2 linked regions of the Coturnix japonica genome follow. The protein of the gene in region 2 interacts with the protein of the main gene of each other region in a pairwise test. Links are inferred from orthologs where the notes say so. Each region holds a gene or a part of one and is shown on either strand. Other genes may lie near its edges.

Evidence for each region. The genes of interacting proteins can lie anywhere in the genome.
Region 1: the proteins of TXLNA (region 2) and CDR2 interact in binary tests that used the Homo sapiens proteins (3 or more experiments, as listed by UniProt). The two-hybrid records come from large-scale screens. The link is inferred for Coturnix japonica from reciprocal best matches to the Homo sapiens genes TXLNA and CDR2.

Annotation. Positions count from the first base shown.
Region 1 is NC_029529.1:8,355,124-8,359,727, forward strand, and holds part of CDR2 (cerebellar degeneration-related protein 2), read right to left. Parts: intron 3,137-4,604; coding exon 2,988-3,136; intron 2,759-2,987; coding exon 2,594-2,758; intron 1,467-2,593; coding exon 602-1,466; 3' UTR 1-601.
Region 2 is NC_029538.1:4,544,217-4,548,823, reverse strand, and holds the start of TXLNA (alpha-taxilin), read left to right. Parts: upstream 1-1,189; 5' UTR 1,190-1,360; exon of another isoform or gene 1,361-1,374; intron 1,375-1,724; 5' UTR 1,725-1,760; coding exon 1,761-1,869; intron 1,870-2,671; coding exon 2,672-3,010; intron 3,011-3,496; coding exon 3,497-3,588; intron 3,589-3,936; coding exon 3,937-4,107; intron 4,108-4,484; coding exon 4,485-4,607. UniProt on the Homo sapiens protein: May be involved in intracellular vesicle traffic and potentially in calcium-dependent exocytosis in neuroendocrine cells.

The sequences.
Region 1 (4,604 bases), on a different chromosome or scaffold from region 2:
CTGTAGAGCCTAGTTCATGTGAAAACATGGCAGTAACTTCACCAAGCACATTGCAAGCTGCTGTTCTAGCTCTCCAGCTCCCTGCCAAAGCAAATTCAGCCAGATTCACTAACTTCATTCTCAGGACTCGAGGAGAGGCTACCTGTGATACTGATCTGGGGCTTCTTGTTATTTTGTGTTTTTACAGTTACAGGGCTACATGATCACATGCAAATTAAAGAAAAGCTTTTGCTTGGTTCTTTGTGAGAAGTACTGTACAGGTTTCTTAGCTCTGTTAATTTGAAGTGGAGTAGGAAAACTATTGTCAGTTTCTGCCAGAAATCAAGTGTAGTATTAAGTAGCATTATAGTATTAAGTTGCAATGTTTTTGTTTCCTTTACAACCACTAGTTTGTGTGACAGTGCTAAACAACATTACATCTATTGCTACATAGGTACAGGGACACTGATAGTCTAACTAGCTTTTTAACTACGTGTCTATGAGCCAATTGAAAACAGAAACATCTGTGCACGGGGCCTTCTGACATTTGTGTAAAAATTTTCCCCCCTTCTAGACAACAAATGAGTTGCCAACAACAAATCGGTCATCAGAATGTCTAAATTCACGGCTGAGAAGAAAGGGACTTGTACTTAGATCTGTGCTCATCTATTTCTTCCTTTGTTTTTTTGATACAGCTAAAGATTTCCTTGAAGAGTGCTTTATATTCAGGAAGAGTATTTGTGGAGCTGAGCGATTCTCCTGCATTCATAAATTCTTGATTATTAGCTGAAAACTCATACTGGTTATTTCCCACACTGTCTTTAGAATACTGCTTCAGTGTTTGTACAGCCTTGTGTTTCAAAGAATCTTCATCTATTTGACACTTCTTCAAAAGTTCCTCATATTTCACTTTCAGAGCATTATACTGAGCATCGACTTCATTGAGTACAGAGATTCCCCGCTGCTTCACAGCTTCAGCTCTCCTGATACACGTTTCTTCGTGGCCCCTTAGAATGTCTCCCCCTGCAGCACTGCTCAGGAAATTTTCACTGCTGCTCCGCTTCAGTGCCTTTTTGTCAAGTTCAGGGACAGCCAGAAGCCCGTCATCAGCTGGGCTCTGACCAAGCTCCCTTTCTAAAGATTCCTTAAATGAAATGAAAAAGGATTCTGGCACCAATTTCTCCGCATTGTGGAGTGTGTTTTCAGATTTAAGCATCTGTCGCATTTCAGCTACTTCCACTTCTAACTCCTCTGCACGAGCCCGATACAAGTCAATATCAACAAGCCTCTGTTCAAGGTCGCAGTTTTCTTTCACCACAAGACTATATTCCTCCTCCATCGTTACCCTCTTCTCTTTTTCTAGGTTGAGCTGGGCTTGCAGAACCGTAACTGCCTTCTTCAAGTTCTCATTTTCTTCTTCCAGAGGACTTAGCTGACTATCCATTGAAGTAATCTTTTCTGCAAACACGTGATCATAAACAAAATACCTGAGGAGACAGAAGCAAGGATTACTAATAGGAAATAGAGCTGATTGCACCTGAAGTTTTCCTGTCATTGGTAACTAATGACAGTTTATGTTAACAGATCTGAAAGAATACATAGCATGATTGGAGCCTGTAGATACTTCATGTGCCATCAAGCCTCTCAGCTCAAGCAGGATGGCAGCTCTTTAACAATCTCAAATTACAGATAAGTTTACTGAATAATGAGATCTATAATTTAAGTTTTTTAAATACTGCCTTCACATATTATGTGATACTCCCTGACTTTCAGATTTCTACCACATCTCTTAACTTGTGTCACCCCTGATTGTGGAAACAAGCTTCAGAATGAACAAAGCAGTTCTGTAGAGCGGCAATCCCACAAACCTTTCACAGTTTGAAGTAACCCATTTATCTTTTGAATTGTCATCAAGTAATTCCTTGCTTGCATAGGTTGTTAATTGCTCAGTCTTACTTGCACAGTGCTGGAAGCCTAAACACAAATCCTGTTCTCCCTGTCTGCAGAAGTACTTCACTTCCTCTATTAGCTTCTAGCAGTGAAGACAGATTGGGACCATACCCCGGGTGACTCCTGATGGGCATACAATGTGGTTCAGCTGGGTAGAACTGCTCTACATTAGAAAGCAGCCTAAAGCTTCAGGCAACATTTTACCAGCTTAAATTCTGCAAAGCTACTGCAGCAAGCTCACCTTGAGAAGAAGGTGCCTACAGATGTCCAAGGAAAAAGTAAGTTACAGAAAATATTGTTTAGGATAATTTACTTTGTAGCTATCTGTGTTTGTGCTTTATCTAACTGAAAAGAGGGAGGTTCACATTCTTGAAGGCTTTCTAGGACACAGTTTCATACAGCTGGAGACTTTGGGGGAGAACCTGTCAAGATAGAAAGTAGAACATACTGTTCCTCTCCCACAAAGATCAATACAGTCCGCAGCCAGAGCACACCAGAAGCATGACAACACCACACACTGCACAGCTGTGCAGGTGTTTTTCTAGTTGCAAACTTAAAATGCTTTTCTGCTACCCTGTTAAACATCTGTGCTTGTATCTAGTTTTTGAAACATTGCTCAAAATAATTTCAATAATCTGTTTGCTATGCAAGGTAAGAGTCTTACTGGCGAAGGTCATATAGCTCCTTCAAACAAGAGAAGCTGTGCATTGATCTTGGCTGGTCAGATCTCTCATGGTTCATCCGGCCTCGTCCAGACTTTTTCAGTTCTTCTACTTGCCTCTGCAGGTCATCTATGTGTGTCTGCAGATTTTCAATAGTCTCTGTCAAGCTAAAAGTGAAGGACTGATGTTAAAACACTTGACAGTTTAATCCAGGACAGATTAGTTCCCATCCCTCCCCATTCCAGCTTCTCTGAAGCTCTTTGGCCACAAATCACCTTTAAATAAAACTTTCAGTTTAAGAGTGTTGTAGAACAATGCTAGACAAACAGCCACCAAAAAGCTGCATGTATCAGTTGAGTAGAGGGGAGAAAAGAGGATCTAGCTTAGGTTTGTTACCTTAGTATCTTTTGTTGTGACGCTCTGCTCTCTGCAACTAGTTTTTGATTAGTGTCTTCTAGTTCTCTTGCTGTCACATCCAGCTGTTCATAAACTTTTGCATGTTGATCATTCATTTGACGCAAGAGCTCCACTTGCTTTGTGAGATACTGCAAGACAGCATTGCTGTTACAAGTCTATACTAGAAACACAGGATAGGGCTACTATTCTGCAGTTTTGTTCACATTAAATACCTGCTATGATTGCTGTGATTTAGAAACGTACAGGTTCCAGTGGTTGCTTTGGTTACTGCCCAGTTGAAAAGGTGCAATCAGTAGCTTAGCTACTTCTCTTGCCTTTGTCATGGAGGTCAGCAAAGGCTGATCAACCAGTCCTTTACCCACATGAGTTGGGTTGGTTCGTGCAAACTGTGTTTATCTGTTTAGCCATCCTTGCTGCAGTTAAACTATTGCCAGTGCTACCACAAACCCATCTGGATTGGGTTTGTCTGTGCTGCAGTCATCACCAACTCAGCCACAAACCTGGATTTCAACACAGTTCTTCACAGAGTCCTTCTAAAAGTTGCACTGAACTACATCATAAATTTTGTAATAATGTTGACCCAATAATTTTCTCAGCATTTAAACTGAAGTATTGGGTAGCACTACCCTGATTGTTTTTCTGCTTGTCTATGTTTGAATCAGCGTTAGGTTCAGCAAAACACATTTTAGGATGTGGTCACACCTGAGATTCTGCAGACTCCTATGTGTCAGGAAGTAGAACCAAGCTATTGGATTCAGTCTTTAATTACCTACAGGGAACTATTTCAGTCATTATAATGCTGAAAAAGTCTCCTGCACTTTGTTTTGTTTTTTTAAATACAACTCCACACAAAGTGATCTCATTTTAATTCCCTTTACTTTTATGGTTAACAAAATAACCTGCTAAGTGTCTAGGATTATTTCAGAAAGTTAACCATCACCTAAGACTCTCAGTACAAGTGCCTTATATCGTCCCAGCTAGGGCAGCACTGAGCCAGCTTCAAAAAAAAGAAAAAAAGAACAAAAATTTATAATAAACAGACTTGATAACAAACCCCCCAACCCCTAAACTATTGAATACTTATTTGTTACGTAGAATTAACGCCATAAAATAAATTCTGTGTTACTACATACTAAACATATGAGCACCTGTTGGACTTCTGAGCAGAACTACATCTCCGTACACACAGTTACATGCTGAAAACTTGTAACATTCTGCTTAACCTTTTACCTCCTTAAAAGATCGATGTGTTTATATTTTAGGCAATTTAAGAACAGATTATAAGTTAATCTGAGACTAGTAACTGCTGCATAGACTTCCTGAAGATCAGCATGACAGCAGTTGCCAGATCCTTCTGCAGCCTGTGTGCACGTGGCAGGATTTACACTAAAATAGTACATGGATTAGCTGCAGAATCTCAGTGTGACCCTCTCCAGATTAACTTTTCCTGTTGGTTACTCTCAGAAAGAGCTACAGAGATCTTCATATTTCCTCCAGCAATATAAGAGTGGCTGAACACAGAAACCAAGGTTTTGGTGGCAGAATTTGATGTCGCCATTTCTCCTAATGGGCTTTTGTGGAAGTTTTAACTGAATG
Region 2 (4,607 bases):
CAAAAAGACCACCACAAATTTGCCACAAAACAACTGGGAGAAGCTGCTGATCCCATTTCCTCCTTGCAAACGGAAGGCTGGACGCTCACTCCACCTGTTAGGAAACAATTCTTCCTTCAAACGAATAGACAGAGTGCTTTATCCTCATGAAGAAAATGGGATGTCTTGCACGTTTATTTTCTTTTTGCTGCTGCATACGTGTCTTTAAAGCAGGCATCTGGGTGGAGGAAGGACACTGAGGTAACTCGTTGCACCTCTTGGGTTTATTTTTCTTTGTGGTGATCTCTCCCAAATGTCACTTCTTACCTCGGGTACTTAATTGAGGTTTCAGCGTTGGGTTGGGTAAGAACAGAAATAGAAAAGCGAGTATTCAGACGAGAATAATTCTGGAAACCTGGGTTGATCTATTTAATTTTTTTGCACATGTTACTCTTATTAAAGACTCTAATTTGCCAAGAGCAGAGTTTAGCCCTGGCCTTTCTGCGCTCCCCATGCAGCGATCCTGGCAGAGCTGGGCTGGATTCACACTGCAGAACATGGACAAAGGGTGAGGGGCTGTGGGAGGATCCTCCCCGTGTCCTGATATTGTTGGTTGGTTTGAGCTGCTGCTGTTGACAAGGGTCGAAGCAGCCGGAGCTGGTGGCTGTGAGCAGGGCTGGGGCTGGGGGGGCTGTACTATGGGAGCTGCCCCATCCCCAGCTGTATTGGAGCCCCACAGCCCGGTTCTGGTGCTGTGTGAACACACTGGGCCTCATTTCCATGTTTCCGTCCCGCTCACAAACATTTTCCTTCATAAAGTCTCAGATCTGTGTATTTTATACGATCTATCGGCACCTGTTTGTCTAATCGGGCTCCAGAGGAAACCAACACCTGTGTAATGTAATGTGTGTAATAGCGCTGTGAGCCGTTACCTGCACACGAGGCCCGAGCTGCTCCCGTTATAGCGCTGTGTGTGGCCGCGCTCACGGTCGGTTCCTCGTACCGGGCCGGGATCGAACAAAGCGCTGAGCGGAGCCGGGCCGGGAGCGAGCGGCTGTGGAGACCGGGGGGGGCGGAAGTGGCTGCCGCGGGGCACGCCGGGAGTTGTAGTTCCCGCGGCTCTTCCCGCTCCTCGCCTCTGTCTCCCGGCGGCCCCCGCGGCTGCTCGGCGCTGATTGGTCGGCGGAGCGGGGCGGCGCCTGCGCGATGAGCGCACGCTGCGAGGCCCGGCCCGGAACCGCTTCCTTCAGTGCGGGACCGGCGGGGGGAGCGGGCGTTGCTGGGCGCTGCTGGGCGCTGCCCGCCGGTACAACGGGGCTCTGCCGCCTCAACCGGCACCGACCGCACCGGGAGGAGCGGCCGCTACGTCACAGCGCTGCCGGTGACGTCACGGGGGTACGGGCGTGACGTCACGGCGGGAGGAAGGGAGGTGTTGATGACGTCACGGGGGTCACGTGGGATGGCGGGAGCGGACGGGGGCTCCGGTCGGACCGGGGGGATCCGGGGATACCGGGCTGTATGGGGATACAGGGCTATAAGGGGATACCGGGATATGTGCGGGGATACCGGGCTGTGTGGGGCTGATACCGGGCTCCATGGGATCCGGTGCCGCGCGGCTCCTCGATGCCGTCCCCGTGGCGCAGCGCTGGGTCGCGGCGGGTCCCGGTTCCCGGTTCGGTCCCGGTTCGGTCCCGGTTCCCGTCCGCTCCCTCCATTCCCCGCTCCAGCTGCGGTTTCCGTTCCAGCGGTTCTCCCGGTGCTGAGCGCGGAGCGGTGCCGCCATGAAGAACCAGAGCGGAGACGGCAAAGCGGCCCCGCGACCCGCGGCCAAAACCGGCGGCGATCCGGGGGACGAGGCGGAACCGGCAGAGCCCAGCGCGGCCATGGAAGGTGCGGGCAGCGCCGCGTCCCGGTATTGGGTACGGGGCGGCCCGTTCTGTCCGGTCCGTTCTGTGCGACTCGTAGCGTTGATCCCAGCAGCACAGAGTCCCTGAGCGATCGGTTCCTTTAGTGCTGCTCTGTGACATTGAGACAGGAATGGGTGGTCAGCTCACAGCAGGTTCAATTAACCTTGCCCTGCGTTTTAGTAACTGTGGAACGTAGGAGATGCACAGCAATGCAGTGAGTTCAATAGCTGATGCTGTACAGCTCTGCTTGGGAGGAGTTGTGGATGTAGAGAAGTGCTGAGGGGCTGCTGGGATGGGATGGATTGTGCTGGGATGGGGATGGGATGGGATGGGGATGGGATGGGATGGGATGGGATGGGATGGGATGTGGGTCTGAGCCGCTACAGCTGCTCGTATATGTGAGCAAAGAGGCAAACTCAGCTTATAGATCTATTGTTGTGCAAAAAAGGCTCTGGGGATATTAGCAGGCTGCTGCTCCGAGGGAAGGCTCACACACAACCTGCTTTGGTTAGAGGATGGTGGGAGGGGGCAGTTCTTGCTCCTGACAGATGTCAGGGTCTCGGTCATGCTCTCGTGATCAAAAGAGGCTGTTAGGAATGCACCTCCATTGTCAGGGCAGCTGGCTGGAGGCACAGCCTGAACAAAGCAGTTTGTGTGCTGGGAGTTCAGCCCGCCCTGGTGCACTGAGGTGCTCGGGGAAACCTTCCCCTTGCTGTGTGTGCGTGGAGAGCAGAGAACAGGCGGCGTGGGGAAGCATCACGCCTTTGTGCTTGTATCTCCGACAGCTCCCCTTGCACAGGACGACACAAAGTCCTCCCGGGCTGCCGTGCAGGATGTCTCTGAGGAGCTGAGCAGGCAGCTTGAGGACATCTTGAACACGTACTGCGTGGATGCCAGCCAGGAGGGTCCGGGTGAGGACGGTGGGCAGAGTGAGCCCGTGGAGCCAGAGGAAGTGGAGAAGTGCCTCAGTGAGTCCCCGAGGAACGGAGATCAGGAGTCAGGCAGCCCCGAGATGAATGGTGAGAAGGAAGGAACGAAGGGGACCGAAGAGTTTCGACCTGGAGACGAGTGTGGAGAGCGGGATCAGAAGAAGGCTCAGGAAAAGAAGAAAGCCAAGGGCCTCGGTAAGGGGTTTCCTGCTGTGGTTGTGCTGCCAGCCTGAGAACTTTGGTGCAGATGTGGATTTTATACTGCACTAAGTGCTGTTAGAGAAATGAATACCTTAGGTACGTGTTTGGAAATAGTACAGCATCTTATTCTTGTGGTATGGGAGGAAACGTTGAGTGTTGCAAAGACACTCATCAGTCCTGAGTGCTGCTGCAGCCTCTGAATTGTGCAGGTTTCCCCTCTGCTGCACACAGCGTTGTCTAGTTGGCCCCTTGGTGGTTCCCTACTCTGATAACCACGTTTCTCCTCAGCTGCTTCAATTGTTCACTGCTGTATGTGGTGAAATCTGGGGGACAAACCCCCAAATAGGCACTGGAGATGGGAACTCTGGGCCAGGGTGGTCACAGGTGTGAGACCTGGTTTCTGTCTCCTGTCCTTGCCTTTATAAGCCACAACTCCATGTACGTGACGTCACCTTTCTGTTTAATTCTGTCTCACTGCAGGCAAAGAAATCACTTTGTTGATGCAGACCCTGAACACCCTGAGCACGCCAGAGGAGAAACTGGCAGCACTGTGCAAGAAATACGCTGAGCTGGTGAGTCCTCGTTTCTTCATTCCAGGCTCTGGGGCAGTGGGAGGACGCTGCTGCAGTGAGCACTGGGACAGCACTCAGAGCTCTGCTCTGTTTAAGCATTGAGTGCTTGGAGGTCCTGAAGGAATGTGCACTTCTCACCAATTCCAGTAGGATGTTAATTCAGGAAGGAGAAAGGCTGTGTGTGGGAGACCTTGGGTTCTGTATTCATCTGACTGTGCTTTTTATTATAAAGCTCCTGTCCTTTCAGAGTAGACAGAACACCTATTTGATCCCTGTGTACCCTTATATGGGCACAGCATTGCCCTGGTCTGTTTTGCTGCATCTCTGCCCTCTGCTCTCCTACCCTAGCTGGAAGAACACCGAAACTCCCAGAAACAGATGAAGATTTTGCAGAAGAAGCAGACACAGTTGGTGCAAGAGAAGGACCACCTGCAGAGTGAGCACAGCAAGGCCATCCTGGCCCGCAGCAAGCTGGAGAGCCTGTGCCGTGAGCTCCAGAGACACAACCGTACCCTCAAGGCGAGTGTCTCCTGGGATTGCTGCAGGAGCTGCTTCCTCCCAAACCCTTAGGTCACCTGCTGCAGGGCTGATTTTAAGGAGTGGTCGCCCGCAGTCTGATGTCCAGTGCAGGATTTCAGTTGTGCTGTTAATCTGTTATCTTGCAAGGGACAGCAGGGGAGGGAGCTGACCCTTGTGATTTTATTTTGAAGGAAGTGATCATTTGTGGGCTTGCTCAGCTCTTGGAGTGAAGGAGCTGCCATGCAATGGCCTGCAGAGCCTTCCTGATTGATACCAGCAGCAGTGGGAAGTTGGGTGGGTTCAGATCATCACGGCCCAGGGAGGTTTGTTCATCTGCCTGATGTGATGCCACGTTGCTGTCTGCCCTTCTAATACAGGAGGAGGGTGTCCAGCGAGCACGAGAGGAAGAGGAGAAACGGAAGGAGGTGACATCCCACTTCCAGGTGACACTGAATGACATCCAGCTGCAGATGGAGCAGCACAACGAGAGGAACTCCAAG